2 linked regions of the Sus scrofa genome follow. The protein of the gene in region 1 purifies or fractionates together with the protein of each later gene. This does not show direct contact. Links are inferred from orthologs where the notes say so. Each region holds a gene or a part of one and is shown on either strand. Other genes may lie near its edges.

What was found. Proteins that work in one complex are often made in the same cells at the same time.
Region 2: the proteins of TWF2 (region 1) and CAPZB purify together in Homo sapiens (co-immunoprecipitation; 3 studies listed by BioGRID and IntAct, with this or other methods). This does not show direct contact. The link is inferred for Sus scrofa from reciprocal best matches to the Homo sapiens genes TWF2 and CAPZB.

What each region holds. Positions count from the first base shown.
Region 1 is NC_010455.5:34,365,624-34,373,578, forward strand, and holds the start of TWF2 (twinfilin-2), read right to left. Parts: upstream 5,375-7,955; 5' UTR 5,202-5,374; coding exon 5,177-5,201; intron 1,717-5,176; coding exon 1,639-1,716; intron 1-1,638. Other genes in the region: TLR9 (toll-like receptor 9), read right to left, coding at 1,639-1,716, 5,177-5,201. UniProt on the Homo sapiens protein: Actin-binding protein involved in motile and morphological processes. Inhibits actin polymerization, likely by sequestering G-actin. By capping the barbed ends of filaments, it also regulates motility.
Region 2 is NC_010448.4:77,782,096-77,789,474, reverse strand, and holds part of CAPZB (F-actin-capping protein subunit beta), read left to right. Parts: intron 1-3,485; coding exon 3,486-3,551; intron 3,552-4,080; coding exon 4,081-4,157; intron 4,158-5,142; coding exon of another isoform or gene 5,143-5,245; exon of another isoform or gene 5,246-5,253; intron 5,254-7,379. UniProt on the Homo sapiens protein: F-actin-capping proteins bind in a Ca(2+)-independent manner to the fast growing ends of actin filaments (barbed end) thereby blocking the exchange of subunits at these ends.

The DNA of each region.
Region 1 (7,955 bases):
ATTAAGGCTGAAGACCAGCAATCACAGACGGGCGGGGCTCCAACAGCACTGCCAAAGTTGTTTAATTTGTTGCTAATATTTTTTGAACTGGTAAGTATTAGTGGAACTCCCACTAAAGAAATGGAATTCATGGCTTCTCTAGAAAAATCAGGAGCTCAAACCACACTCAGTTGGATATGGGCAGTGGCTGCCTGTCAGGTGGCCTGGACCCTCCTGGGCACTCCCAGATGCCCAAACAGCATAATGCAGAATGGAGATAAGGGCCCACTGAGAGACTCCTTCTAAACGTCTACAGGGATGTCCTGTTTGGGAGGTGACAGGGAAGGCTGAGAAGTGGGGTCCGTGAACCTCTTTGGAGGAGTCTGGGGGGTCTATGGCTACCACCCCAAGAATCCTTCACTCCTGACCTACCCCAATACCCCAACCCAGCCTCTGAGGATATCTGAATCTGGGGACCCTGGACAAAGCCCAGCACAGCTCTGGCCCTAAAGCCTGGGGTGAATTCTGGAACCGAGCAGACTCTACTTTGACCCAACTCAATGTGTGAACAGTCAGATAGGTACCAGACTCATTTGGGGAGCCCCTAGAAGGGCCTACTACGGCATGGCTACCAAGAAGGGCTGGAAGGATTCGTGGGGGGTCTGGCCCACCCCCAGTCCTTTTTTTTTTTTTCCTTTTTAGGGCTGCACCTGCGGTATATGGAAGTTCCCAGGCTGGGGGTCGAAGACATGCAGCTATCGCCCTACAACACAGCCACATTGGATCCAAGCTGCATCTGCGACCTAAGCCACAGCTTGTGGCAATGCTGGAACCTTAACCCACTGAGTGGAGCCAGGGATCAAACCCGCATCCTCATGGCTACTAGTTGGGTTCTTACCCTGCTGAGTCACAGTGGGAACTCCCACCCACACTCCTGGAGTCTGTCACCCCTCACCTCCAGGGACAGCCCCTCAGCTGTTTTCTATCCCAGGACTTCTCCACCCCCAGCCCTCTCAAGACTCAGTCTAATCCTCTGTCTCCCCAAAGCCACTTCCCACTTCAGCCTCAGCTCAAGCTCGCCCACCCCCAAGCCCTATACCCCAGTACCTCCCCTTGCGGTAGCCCCAGGTCCCCAGAGTCCAGGTCAAAGCCCAGCCAAGCCTGGAATCCCTTGGTCCTATTCTCCAAGAGGCTGACACGTGTCCCTCCTCCCCATTGTGAGGGCACTTCCCAAGGGCAGGGCCCCAGCTTCGCCTTAGGATGCCCCCGGGGCCTTAGCCAAGCCAGGCAGGCCTGCCGACCACAGAGGAAGGTGAGTGGCACTAGCCACATGGGTCAGTGCCTGTCCTAAGTCATCCCCTGCCCCCACGCCCCACCCAGCCCAGCCTCCCAATCGGCCCTGCTGATACCTTCGGAGCCTCTGTGAGGCGGGGAGGACCCTGGGCAGGGCTCTCTGTGCTCCCTCCCTAGCTTTCGCTTCCGGCTCTGTACAACAGGCATAATGACGGTGGCTCCCCCCGACTCTCCGACACGGCATCTCCCATTCCCAGATGGAAAACTGAGGTCCTGAGGGGGCTAAAGACCCACATCCCCCCACCTCCCAGAGAAGCAGCTGGGCCCAGCCACCAGCCTGTGCCCTCGCCCGTAGGAGGCACTCACCGTCCTCAATGACGACTTTGATGAGCCGCACAGAGCCAGCCCGTGCCTTGGCAAAGAACTCCTTCAGCTCTTCGGTGGCTACAAGAACAAGAAACATGGTGGGGGAGGAGCAGGCAGAGGGAATGGGCAGAGACACTCAGGGCCTGCTCCGTCCTGGGGGGTCTGGTGGTGGAGCTGGGAGCCGGGTTAAATACGGCCCCCCATGTGACTGGGAACCCGAGACAGCCGCTGAACACAAGCTCCCAAATTTAGCCAACAGAGGTGGCAGGCGGGCGGCCTGCTGGCTGTGAGAGCTCCGTTGACAGGGCATGCAGGGGTGGGACGGCCCACTCGAGAATGGGGGCGGGCTCTGGGACAGGCCAAACCAGCCAGAGTGAATGGCCCCCACCTATCTCCTGCCCCCCAGGAAAGCCCAGCACTGAGCTGGCCTGGGACCTTCCCAAGACTGTCACATCCACAGAGAGAAATACATGAACAACTGCCCCCAATGTGCACTGATTACTGTGTCTGTCTACACATGCCCATGCAAACACACACACATGCACACATGCAATGCACATTGCATGTGCCAATAGGTACATACCAATCCAGCATATGCGAATGTTACACATAAACACTATGCGACAGAAAGAGGAACAGAAACGCAAACACTCTCAGCTGGTCAAACAGAAATGGACACACACATTTAGATGTACGAATGGACACACACATTTAGATGTACGAATGTACACACACACAGATACAGTCCCCAGGGTGCTAGGAAATTCGCAGACAGGCAAATGCAGAGTGTGACTGACATATGTGTGCAAGAGAGAAGCTGTACAAAATGTACCCAAAAAAACAGAGGTACACACTGACACATGCATGCATGCATACCCAGCCCCAGCCCACCAGCCAGGCTGCCTAACCCTGAGAGGCCCTGAGGAGGCAGGCCAACCCTGGCTCAGCCCCACCAGGGGGTGATAAGCCCCTACCCCCGGCAGCTGGGAAGAGGAATGGCTCTTGGAGACTCTCCAAAACAGTCCCTGTCTTGGTCCCTGAGCCACAGAGCTGGAAGGTGATGGCCAATGAATAGGGACCCAGGTACAGAGGTGAGGATTGTGGTCAGAACTAGGGAACCACAGAAGTCACAGATTCACTGATGGTTCAGATGAGGAAACCAAGGTCTAAGTTGGGAAGGGCCCTGCTTGGGCCTCTGGGTGCACAGGACCAGGCCAGCATGACCTTGGGGCTGCCCAGGGGTCAGGAGAATTCTGCAGGAGCACAGCTGGAGGGCTGAGGTCAGAGAATATTTATAGGGCCCAGACTGGGCAGCTTGGGTGTGGCGGGGGCGGGGGGACCTTTAGGAAAACAAACTCTGGTCATGTCCTCGGGTGGCCTGCATGAAGGGTGACCCTGAGCCTGAGACCTCAGGCTGTATACAAGCCTCCAAGGCTGCTGGGAGGGCAGGGTCCCAGCTAAGTTCAGCAGGCCCTTGGGGCTCAGAGCAGCCTGGCATGGACACAGCCCCAGTGGGCCAGGACAGAGCTGCTCCTCTGTGGACCCCAAGCTGGTCCATGATGAAGAGCCTGGATTCTGGGGCTCCACCTTTCCGGTAGCTGTGTGTGACCTCTGACCTCACTGAACCTCAAACCCATCTATAACACGGGGCTAATACTCCCCAAATGCTGAGGAGTAAATAGGAGACAGTGCTCCGCAACGGGGGCCTCTCCTAATAATAATCATTAACTTGTGTTACTGTAATGACGCGGGGCAGGCTGTGCTGAGCTGTTCCTTCCACCTGCTCAGACCTACTGCTTCTATTGTTACCAGGACAAACTGACACCCCAGTAGTGGGAGAGACATCCCCCTCCATGCCTCCTCAGCCACCATCAATAATCCAGAGGCCAGGCCTGGGATACCTGAGCCTCAATCATCAAAGATTCATGCCCCCCCTACTCTCACCCACTTGCTGCCTTACCCCCCACCCCTCCACCCAGTAAGCCTCAGGTTACAGGTCCCTCCCCTGCCCTGCTCTGAGGTCAGCAGATCCACACTTATAGCCAGGTCAGGGCTGGCACCTGGGCATCCAGGGTGATTTCTCCTGCCACCTCCCCAGGCCAGAAATGGAAAGGAGTGGGCTGCCCTCACACAGAAGGAGGGCTGGGAAAGGGGTTCAGCCCCCAGATTCCCCTAGGCAGGCTCATCTCAGCATATGGGAAATGAGGGAGTGAGGGAGGGCCCAGGCCACAGGACTGGTCAGCCCAGAGAGGGGAGGAGGAGCCCTAACTTCTGATCCCCTCCCAGTTAGAGGTGACAGCAACGATCAGACAAAGGGGAAGGAAGGGGCAGGTCCAGTGAGGGGCTGTTCCCTTCTGTGGGGCTGAGTCATGAAGCTGCCCCTCCAGCTCTTCTTGGAGAGTAGCTGGCCCAGACCCAGACCTCTGCCTTTTCTGGTCCTGTGGGCGGGGCCAGGGAAACCCTCTCAGGGCCAGCCACCAAGCGGCCACAACCGCAAGCAGACCAGGTGGTCAGGCTGGTCGATGATGATGGCCCCAGGCAGAGGATCCTGGCGTGGTAGGAGGAATGGCTGAAGGCCAAACCACTGGGCTACCTGGGTAAGCAGCCTGGGCCTTCCCCACAGGCCAGGTAGCCCTCCCAGGTCAGTGACACAGGGGGACATTGAGGCCTGGGTAGGGTCAGAACACCTGGCCCCTGGTCATTGCTTCTTTCCCATCCTGTATAAGGAGGAAACCAAGCCATTTGGGAGAGGAGGCTGATGCTCTGGGCTGAAGGAGGACCTGGCCTGGAATCTCTAGGGTCAGGAGCCTCTTTCCTACCTCCAGCCTGGAGCTGGGACCTTCCAATACCAGCTGGGGCAGACTCAGGAGATCAGAGGTCAAGGTCAGATTGGTGACTCTCCACATCCCATTTAGTTTTTCCCAGGCTGGTTTGTGAGGGTCCTGGGAGGAGCCAAAGGTCGGGGCTCCCTTCTCACACAGACATAAAGCAGTACAAACCAAACACCCATCCATGGTAACAAATGAACACTGAGATGCACTCAAATTGTGCGTGCACACACACACACAGACTCCCACAGACATGTGCATACAGTCACGAAACACTGATGTCTAAAGATGGTTCCATGCAACAGTGTCCAATCAAGACATTGCTGTATGTGCACGAATGACCCTAGATGTACACAAGCAGTCATATCCAGATGTGCACACAGGTCCGTACATACAAGTGCACATGCGTGCTCACTCCCTCAGATGTGCACATCCGGGTACACCCACTCCCAGAAAGGGACAAAAATACATAGATAGGCACACACAGGCACATCCACCCCCGGATGGGAACAGAGATACCTTCACCCCCAACTATGCCCAGTAAGTCCGCACCCCACTAAGATTTGCCCACCCCAGGCGACCCACGGCTGCAAGAGAACAGGAAGCTTCCCTAGGCTGGTGCCGGATCGGAAACAGGGGCCGGGAGCCCAGGAGGGGGCGCAGCCTCAGACTCTCCCTCGGCCCCCCGTCCGTCCGCCATCTGCCCTCACCGTGGATGCCGGTCTGGTGCGCCATGGCTCCGTGCCCCGCTCCGCCTGCGCCCTCAGAGCCCTCGGCTCGGCCACGACCCAGCTCGGCTCGTCTGGACCGGGAGGAGGAGAAGGAGGAGGAGGATGTGGCGGTAGCCTCCCAGCCTCGCGCAGCTTCCCGGGCGGTGCCGCAGGACCCGCCCCCAGAGCGCCCCGCCTCCGACGGGCGAGGCCGGGACTCGAGGCCGCGCGTGCGTGCAGTAGGCGCCTGGCTCCAGGTGGGCCCAGGGAGGAGCTTTGAGTGGTGTTTCCGCGCGCTTGCGCTTGCCTTGTTTCTGGCGGAGAATGCGATCTGCGTACCGCCTAGCATGTGTGGGCGCATGCACGTGTGTGTCAGTACACCCGGATCCGAGTGGTCTGTGGCTGGGGCGTATCCATATGAGCGCGCGCAAGCCTGAGTCCCGGTCAGGGGCCAGGTGGGTTTGCAGATGGGTAGCATCCTGGCGTGGCCTTGAAGCGGGGAAGGGGTTTTTCTGTGTGTGAATGGGCACCCGTGTGTTTGTGTGACATCTCTTTCCTTGGAGACGTTTCTTGGGCGGCTCCTGTGGCCCTGGGCACCTGGAGGCGACGCGCCTGAAGGCCCCGTCCTGACGGTGGGAGCCCAAACTGACTTTCTGCTAGACAGCCCGCAAATGAACAGTGTCTGTGGTGGCGAGTGCCCTGTGCAGAGGGTAAGGGGCCGTTAGGAGGAGGTGAAATTTGAGTGGAAACCTGGAGGAAAGCCTGGCAGAGGGGTGGGGAAAGTCTTCTGAAAAGAGGAGACTGCAGAATTCCCTTCGCGACGCAGGAGAAACGAATCCAACTAGGAACCATGAGGTTGCAGGTTTGATCCCTGGCCTCACTCAGTGGGTTAAGGATTCGGCATTTCTGTGAGCTGTGGTGTAGGTCCCAGACGCGGCTCGGATGTGGCGTTGCTGTGGCTGTGGTGTAGGCCAGCAGCTGTAGCTCCATTAAGACCCCTAGCCTGGGAACCTCCATATGCCTGCGCCATGGGTGCGGCCCTGAAAAAAAAAAATTCCTTGGAAATAGGAATTAACCAAGAAAACACATTAACTAAAACTAATAAGGTTATGTTCTCTATTCTAATGTCCATCACTGGATAAATTACACGACTACCTTAATTGCAAAGTCCTCCCTCCTACCTGGTTGGCCCCACTCTGCATCATTCTCTTTGTTTTTATCCCTGCCTGGCACATATATTTACTCGCTTATTTGTTTATTGTCTTCCCTCCACCAGTTTAAGTTTTTACCCCTGCTGTATCTCCAGCAGCTAGAACAGTGCCCAGGATTAGTAGGTGTTCAGTAATATTTTCCAAATTAGAAGTTCCCATCGTGGCGCAGTGGAAATGAATCTGACTAGGAACCATGAGGTTGCAGGTTCACTTCCTGGCCTCGCTCAGTGGGTTAAGGATCTGGCATTTCTGTGAGCTGTGGTGTAGGTTACAGACATGGCTCAGACGTGGCACTGCTGTGGCTGTGGTAAAGGCCAGCAGCTGTAGCTCCAGTTCGACCCCTAGTATGGGAACCTCCATATTGCCATGGGTGCAGCCCTAAAAAGCAAAAAAAAAAAAAAATATATATATATATATATATATTTGCCAAATTAAAACAATGTCTGAATGAACTATTAGAATCTTTGTGTTGCACACTTACTATGGCTGGACACGTTTATTCAGTCCTTATGAAAGTCCTGTAATGTATGTGTTGTTACATACATTACAGAAGAAATTTGAGGTTCAGAAAGATAAAGTGATTTGATCAAAGTCACAAGGTAGTGAGTATCCCCAAGAACCTTAGTTTCCTTAACTTAGGGAACGGGAACAGATCTACAGCAGAAATTGAAAAAACACTGTAAATCAACTATACTGTAATGAAAAAGAAAGAAAGGAAAAGAGAAAAAGGAACAAACGATGAGAAGCCCTGCTGGGCAGTGGCCCTCATTGCTTCCATCACTATCTCACACCTCAGTGATGAGGGTTTAACCAGAGAAAGGAACTTCCTGGAAGCTGGGGTTGGAGCCCAGTTCTGCTCAGCTTCAAAACCAAGGATGCAGTGAGGAGCACAAGGGCCAGCAGACTCCATCTCTGGCTGAGATCCGGTTTTAGGCAGAAAGATAAGAAAGCTGCATGCAGCTCCTCGAATGAGTCCAGGGATGATCAGAGTGTCTAGGAACAGGTAGGTTGCTCCTTTCTTTTCTTTTCTTTTTTTTTTCTTTTGCCTTTTCTAGGGCCGCTCCTGTGGCATATGGAGGTTCCCAGGCTAGGGGTCTAATCGGAGCTGTAGCCAACAGCCTATGCCGCAGCCAACAGCCTATGCCGCAGCCACAGCAACACGGGATCCGAGCCATGTCTGCAACCTACACCACAGGTCACGGCAACGGCAGATTCTTAACCCACTGAGTGAGGCCAGGTACTGAACCTGCAACCTCATGGTTCCTAGTCGGATTCGTTAACCACTGAGCCATGACAGGAACTCCAGCTTTCTCTTTTCTTGCTGTTTCTCCACACAAAGTCAGCCACTGAAATAGTTTTTTTATCAGGTGTATCAAGGATTTAAATGTGCTTTTTTAAAACAGTGAACTATTAAAATTCTGAAGAAACAAAGGGAGAAGATTGTAAAATCTTGGAGTGGAGACGTCCTTCTGAGTATGTCACCAAGCCCAAAAATCATAAAAAAAAAGAAACCAACAAATTAATTTACATTAAAAATTAAAAGTCTTGGAGTTCCCGTCATGGCTAAG
Region 2 (7,379 bases), on another chromosome or scaffold:
ACAGAGGGGAGCAGAGGTGCTCGATGGGGACGAGCCGACTGGCTCTGTTGGAATCACCTTGTGGTAAATCTGTGCGACCACAGCACATAAAAATGTGTTCCTGTGGCAGCCACTTCTGTTTGGGTGGAATCATATCTGCGTTGCAGAAATAGTTCTGTTTATGGCGCGTCAGCATTACCAGCGAGCTGACCCTGACCAGGTGTGCGGGGAGTTGGCCAGGGTGCGGGCAAGGGGGCTGTGGAGATGTGTCTGCGGGCCAGGCTTCTGCCCCCGACGCAGCCCATCTCCTTCGTCCCCCCCTAGAGGAGGCCGAGCCTTCTCACCCACCCCCGGCCCCGCTGCCCGGAGCTCTTTTGCTCGGCTCACCCAGCAGTTCCAGCCTCTCCCTTTGTTGGACAAGGGCTCTGGATTCTGAAGCAGAGATGATACCCCAGGGGTTGGGTATCTGTCGTGAGTTTACTTATTACCCCTGATGGCCCTGAGCCCTTTGTCACCCATCCTGGACTCACTTGGGGTGGTTGGTGCTCATTTAAAATGGGGCCCTCATTGAGCTCAAAGCCTCGCTGTTTCCCGAGAGTCACCAGGAATCTGCTGCCTGCGTGGAGCTGGGGCGCCGGGAGGCGGGGGGAGGTGGGGGGAGACTGATGTGTGGAAAGACCTGGGTCCTTCGGACCAGACCCCCCGGCCCCTCCACACCCAGAAGAGCAGCTCTGAGCTGCGTGGAAACCGCTTCCACACGAGAAGGGAGAACACTCAGTGCCAGCACGTTGGTGCCAGAAGTGCCTTCAAGGACAGGTGGGCCAAACATCCTTCCCCTCGGGCACTCTCCCAGCCCTTTAACAGGCACCTGCTCCACTCATTGAAGCAGCAGGATTAGCTCAGGGCGCACAGCTCTGCCCAGGATGGGTGCTTATCACCCCAAAATGGTGGGGAGTGGCTTTTACTTTAAAGTTTGTGGGCACTCTCCCCTCTCCTATTCTGTGGGGACCCCTGGAATTTGAGGTTTGAGGAACCCCTACCCCACCCCCGGATTATGCCCAGAGAACCCAGTGCTGCGGGCAGAGCCGCTGATGGTTCTGGCGTCTCTCCCGCTCTCCCCTTGTACCCATCAGGCCAGACCTAACAAAACAGTCTTGCTGGAACCAGGCACCTTCGTTCTCAGACCGAGTCTCTTGACTTTGGAAAGGCCTTGCGAGGCCATAGGTTCCAGACTGTCACTCTACTCTGGACCCCTCTTGTAGCATCTTGACAACCCCACTTCTCAGACACCTCCAGGGGCTCATCACCCTATGAGCAGGCGCCTATTGCAGACAGCTCTGCCCGCCCCCCGCAGGGACATGGATTGTTTCTGGGTCTGATAAGTGACCCTGCCAATCATCTCGACCCTTGGGATGCTGTCAACAGGATCCCATGAACCCTTTCAGCTGGGTCTTCCTTTTAAGTCCTGGGCCAGCAGGTGGACCCAGGGCCAGGCAGAGAATCCCTGTAGGAGGCCCCCCTGGGAACTGACCATTGTCCAGCCCTGCTCCTCTGCCACGGCCACAGGACCTTGGGTGGGAAGCTGCCACAGTGGTGTGATCTCATTAGAGGGACCCTCTGTTCCTCAGCCCAGCATCCCCTTCCCAAGAGGAAATTGATTGTCATCGTGGAACGAGTTCGTGGGGAGCCTGTGCTAGCCCTTAGAGATAACGGATTTCAAAATGTGCTAACAGATGACTTTTAACTGTCCCATCCAAAAACTGTCACCTGGATCAGTGTCAAACTGGTGTTTAACTTCCAACTCTAATCTTCCTTCCGTTAGGAAGGCAGGGCCAGCCTCTGCCCTGCTCCAGTGTCCTGGCATCTCTAAGTGTGCTGTGATTTTGCAAGAATGTCTGTCACAGAATCGGGTTTGTCTGACCCTGGACGTTTAATCATTTAAAGTGACTCGGTTCTCTCCTGCCGTCTGCTGGCGGCTTTTCTCCCTCTTAATTGGGTCTCTTCTACCCTTCCTGGCCTGAAAATCATTCTCCCTGATGGATGAGAGAAGTTAAAAATGGGCGAGGAGCAGCAGGCCTTTAGCCTCTGATCACACCCCATGCACCCCAAGCATCTGTTCTGCTCTTCAGGTTCTGGAGCGAGTTCTCCTCTCACCTTGGCTCTGCCGTCTTCACTGGTCGGAATTCACTTGAGCTCTAGCCTTCCTGACCCAGTTCTTTTCATACTGTTCCTTTTTCTTTTTTCTTGGTTGTGACATGCTGAAGTTTCGGGGCACGGGGGGAGCTCCCATTGTGGCGCAGCAGAAACAAAAGGACTAAGATTCATGAGGATGCAGCGTCAATCCCTGGCCTCACTCAGTGGGTTACGGATAGGACGTTGTTGTGAACTGTAGTGTAGGTTGAAGATGTGGCTTGGATCCTGCTTTTCAGTGGCTGTTGTTTAGACCGGTAGCTGTAGCACCGATTCAACCCCCTAGCCTGGGAACTTGCATATGCCCCAATAAGTTGTTTCTGGGCCATGGATCGAACCTGTGCCACAGAAGTGACAGTGCCAGATCCTTAACTCACTGAGCCACCAGGGAGCTCCATTCATCCTGCTCCTTTTTTTTTTTTTTGTCTTTTTGCCTTTTCTAGGGCCACTCCTGTGGCATATGGAGATTCCCAGGCTAGGGGTTGAATCGGAGCTGTAGCCACCGGCCTACGCCAGAGCCACAGCAACGTGGGATCCGAGCCGCGTCTGCAACTTACACTACAGCTCATGGCAACACTGGACCTTTAACCCACTGAGCGAGGCCAGGGATTGAACCTGCAACCTCATGGTTCCTAGTTGGATTCATTTCCACTGCGCCACGACGGGAACTCCCATCCTGCTTCTTGATTACCTAATTTCAGCTTCTTTATTTTATTTCGGTTACAGTGGTGACAGCAGCCATGGTTCCACTCAATTCGGTAGCAGCATTCGTGCGCTCAGCACTCTGCTGGGCACCTGTGGGGTGTAGCTCAGGTTCATGTGCTCTTAAGGAATGGATCCTCTTGCGAGGGAACAGGCCTTGGACACGGGAGAAGTGGCGAGCTCTGCGACGTGCCTCCACGCTCCTGTCGGGCTTTGCTTCTCTCCCTGCCCCCTTTCCTCTCGGTATTCAGAGGATGGATCACTGGGCCAGAACTGACTGCCTGACTCGCTGGGTCCTACCTCCTCTAAGGCTCCGCCTGCCCCCGTCATAACTAGGGACCTGGATTAAGATTTTCTGATTCAAGGTCCCCTCGGCTCCCCTCGTCTCCACCGGAGACCCCTGAGGAGTCTCTGCTCAGAAGTGGGGACTCGGGGCTTCTGCTAGCTGGACTGTTTATGACCTGAAACTTGAAAGTCATTTCGTGTTTGGGTCCCCCACTGGCAAAGCAGCCTTGCCCCCGACAGCCAGCGGGAAGTGAGGGCTCCGTGCTGTCGGCAGAGGCTGCCCCCCTCACCGGCTCTCTGACTCGGAGGGGTGTTTCTGTGTCTTGCAGATGGAGAAGGATGAGACTGTGAGCGACTGCTCCCCGCACATAGCCAACATCGGGCGCCTGGTAGAGGTGAGTGGGCCCCCTGCAGCCGCGGTTCGCCTCCCCGGCGTGTGGCGTTTCGCTCCTGGAGCCTGTTTGTGGGGCTCAGCTCCGAAGGCACACCCTCCAGTGCCCCCCAAACGCATGCTCCAGAAGCCTTAGATCCTGTCTCCCTGGGTCCACTGGGCGCACAGGGAGACCTGAGCTTGGAAAGAAGGCAGGTGGTCCTGGGGGCACCAGGGCTCTGGAGGCGCCTCGGCTTCCCCTTCCCCTCAGCGCCTGGAGGAAGAGGCTCCCTCCAGCTTCACTGACTTGTTCGTGGTGTCGGCAGGGCTCGGGGTGGTGATGTGGGTTAGACCAGCTCCCAGGAATGCCAGGACCTGGGTCCGAGGAAAGGAAGGCGCCCAGAGTTAGAAGCGAGGTCTCGGCCGCCAGCCTCCCTCGCTGGCTTTGGCGCAGGCATGCGTCCCCACCCTGTGGTCACAGCAGGGACTGCAGGGATGCAGGTGGGGGGAAGGAGGGCACGGGTCCCACCCGTCTGACTGAGCTCCCTTTCCAGGACATGGAAAATAAAATCAGAAGTACGCTGAATGAGATCTACTTTGGAAAGACGAAGGACATCGTCAACGGGCTGAGGTAATGTACCAGAAGCACAGGCTTTGGAACAAAAAAGATGCGCTTACCAGCTCTCTGGCCTTGGGCCTCAGTTTCCTCATTTGTAGAACAGGGCTGTCAATGCAGATTTAGACGATCGAGCAGCGCCTCTTGAGGAGGTGTCGGTGCCGCAACGGGGCACATCACCCTTACCGGCACTGGGGTCCTCACCCCGGGAGTCACCTCCTCGGTCCCCAGGCCTGTGGGTCCCACCTGCAGAAGCTGCCCAGCCCCTTGGGCTCTGCGGCCTGAGGACCCCTTCACTCAGACCCTAAGGGGCGCAGGGAGTGGTGCTATGGCTGCCGGTTGGCTGGAGCTCAGGGCTCTGTTGGCCGCCCCTCCCCACACATCTTGTGCCCTCGGGGGGCTGGCTGGGTCCTCAGAGTCATCGTGGGCAGGGCAGGAGGCCAGAGCCCCCTTGGAGGCAGCCCCAACGCGGCCTGCTGTGCGGAGTGAGCACCAGCTTTGGAGTCAGGGGGCTGGGATCTCCTGCAGGCTCTGTCACCCTGAGCTCTGTGACCTTCAACCGGTCACTCCTGTCCATGGCCCTCTGCCCGCCCAGGAGCAGGGCTGCTGAAGGGAGGCGGTGAGAGGAGCCTGGCTGCAGCTCTGCTCCACTCCAGAGTCCCGCAGCTTTGCCTTCCCCTGGCCATGGAGCCCTGAGCTTCCTGGCCTGGGGTCCCTGCACCAGCCACGGCAGACACACCCGGCCAGCCTGCAGGTCCTCTGGTGATGGCCAGAGAGTCAGAGAGGGCCGCAGGGAGCTTGGCGGGTAGAGGTCTGAGTCCCTGAAAACCCTGACCAATGCCGGCGAGAGCTCCACGGCCATGGCCTCCACCCATGGCCTCCACACCGTGCAGCGGATGCCCCCTCTATCCCCCATACTTCCCCTGAGCTGCCGCCCCGCCCTGTGCCCCTGGGTCCGAGCGCCCTTCTTGCCGCGCTCATCTCTGCACGCTCTCTGTAGATCTGTTGACGTTATCCCCGACAACCCCAAGTTTCAGCAGCTGCAGAGGGAGCTTTCCCAAGTGCTGACACAGCGCCAGATCCACATCCAGCCTGATAACTAAGCCGCCAGGTACCCTGCCTGAGAGGCCTGAGCGCCCGCCCCACTAAACAGGACTCACCAACCCGCCGAGACCCCGCCGGAACCTTTAAACACCACTAACCCCGTTAATGTGTAGACTCGACCCCCGTAACACAGACCCGAATCACGTGTGTGGTGTGTGTGCTTTGCACTCTGGGGGCATGGACGGGGCCGCCTGGGCTTTAGCTCCTCAAGATGCCAGCCTGGGGGTTGCCTTGGCCTCAAGCACAAGCCACCTGCCTGTGCTGCCGTGATTGGCGCAGAGCGGGGGTCTGCACCCTGCCTTCGCTCAGCCGGCGGCTTCGGGCGACCTCTGAATCTGCTGTGTGTGCACCCAGTGCCTTGCCAGCTTTTCAGTCCGGGATCCCAGAAGCCCATTAGGCCCCTTGTCACTGGGAGATTGACCGGGGCTAGCCGACTTAAAGGGGGCCTATTGCCCCAAGTCTGAGGACAGAGCACAGTGGGGCTGTCATCCCCCAGTTGGGCCTGGTCACCCCCAGACTGGGTGCTCCCAGAGCCGCCAGGACCAGTATAACCCTCCGCACCTAGAGAGCTGCAGCTGTCCTCCGAGATGCCTTACGCTGATGGAAAGGAAAGTCCTCTTGCTTGTTGACTATGGCCAAGAACCGTGGCTTGAGCCTGTGACAGATACAGACGCAGGAAGGCAGTCGGCCTCCCTGGAGAGGAGGGAACTGGTCTTAATAGAAGGCGTTTGGGAACCCAGCCAGGCGGGGCTGCAGAGCCTGGGGTTAGGGGCTGCCTCTCAGGCCCAGGGCTGGACAAGGAGGCCCCGACCCAGAAGAGGCTCAGTGGGGTTTCTGGGGTGGGTGGGGCTGGGGGCCCTTGTGTGGCCAAGGAGAGCTGCTGCTCTGCGTGCGTAGGTCTGTGTGTGTGCCAGCTTCAGCCTGGGGTGCTCATGCTGGGACGTCCCCTTCCCATCACAGCAGGAAGAAACCCCCTTTTAAGGCATTCGCTATAGCATAGTTTTCTCTCCAGCTCCTCAGCTTTTAGGGTGGGTCTGGAATCTTCTGGATCCCTTGCCTTGGCCAGTTCAGTGACTGCCCACTGGAGACTTTTCAGCATAGACACCCCCCCACCCCCCAGCAGTGGGCAGCCTGGCACCCACTGTCTAGGACAGGTGCTCCCTTCCCACACAGGTCAGCGCGTCCTCTGGGCATTGGTTCCGGGTTGCTTTTGCCGTGGCCTTCCTGAGCTCGGTCCCCCATGCGAGTGCTCTGCTCCTTATACCTCCAGCTGTTCCAAGCCTAACCTCTTGTCTCTCACCTGATTCTAACTCTGGAAATGTCTCCTTGGGGGGAGGGGCGGGGGTGGGGGCAAGGAACAGCCCAGACCTGACGTGCTCCTTCCCAGAAGAGCCAACCTCCCCCCCTGTGGCCCTGGAGCCAGATGAGCCTCCGGCTCGCCCACTGTATCCTCCCATAGGGCGTGTTAACCTCCCACGGGGAACTTCCCAGAAGCCTGTGGCAGGCGAGCTGAGGTTTGGAGCCTGAGGGCCGCTAGGGCTGGTGTCTGAGCCCTTCTTTGACCACCAGAGCAGTGCAAATACTCAGAAATGTGTATTTCAGCAGCATCAACCAATTTTTTAGTTGCACAAAATCTTGTGTTTGCCACCCTCTACCATTCTGAGGGCACTACCCGGGATGCTTCTAGGATTCAGGAGCCAGAATCCCACGTGGGACGCTCTTGTTCCCACCGGGCCCTTCGTCATTGTACTTCCTGCGTGTTCAGCGCTGGGGGATTTGTTTTTGGTCCCACCTTCCCGTGCTCTCTCACGGCCAGTGCTGTCAACTTGAGTCCGCTGGCTCCACAGCATCCCTGCAAGGCAGCCTCCCACTCTCTCCTTCCACTGACTTGGAACTGGTAGAAAGTTTGTAAATAGTTAGTATTCCTGGTTCACCCACACATTGGGTACATTTGATAAAGTGATCATTCTGGTCCTTGCTGGGGCATGTCTCTGAGCCTCAGTTTCTTCATCTGTACATTGGGAATAACGCCCAGACCTTTCCAGGACACTTGTGAGAATGTGCGTGTCAAGCACTCTGTGAATTGTACAACCTCTGTAGAGCTTAGTTGTGTTCGCTTTGCCGAACCCACGT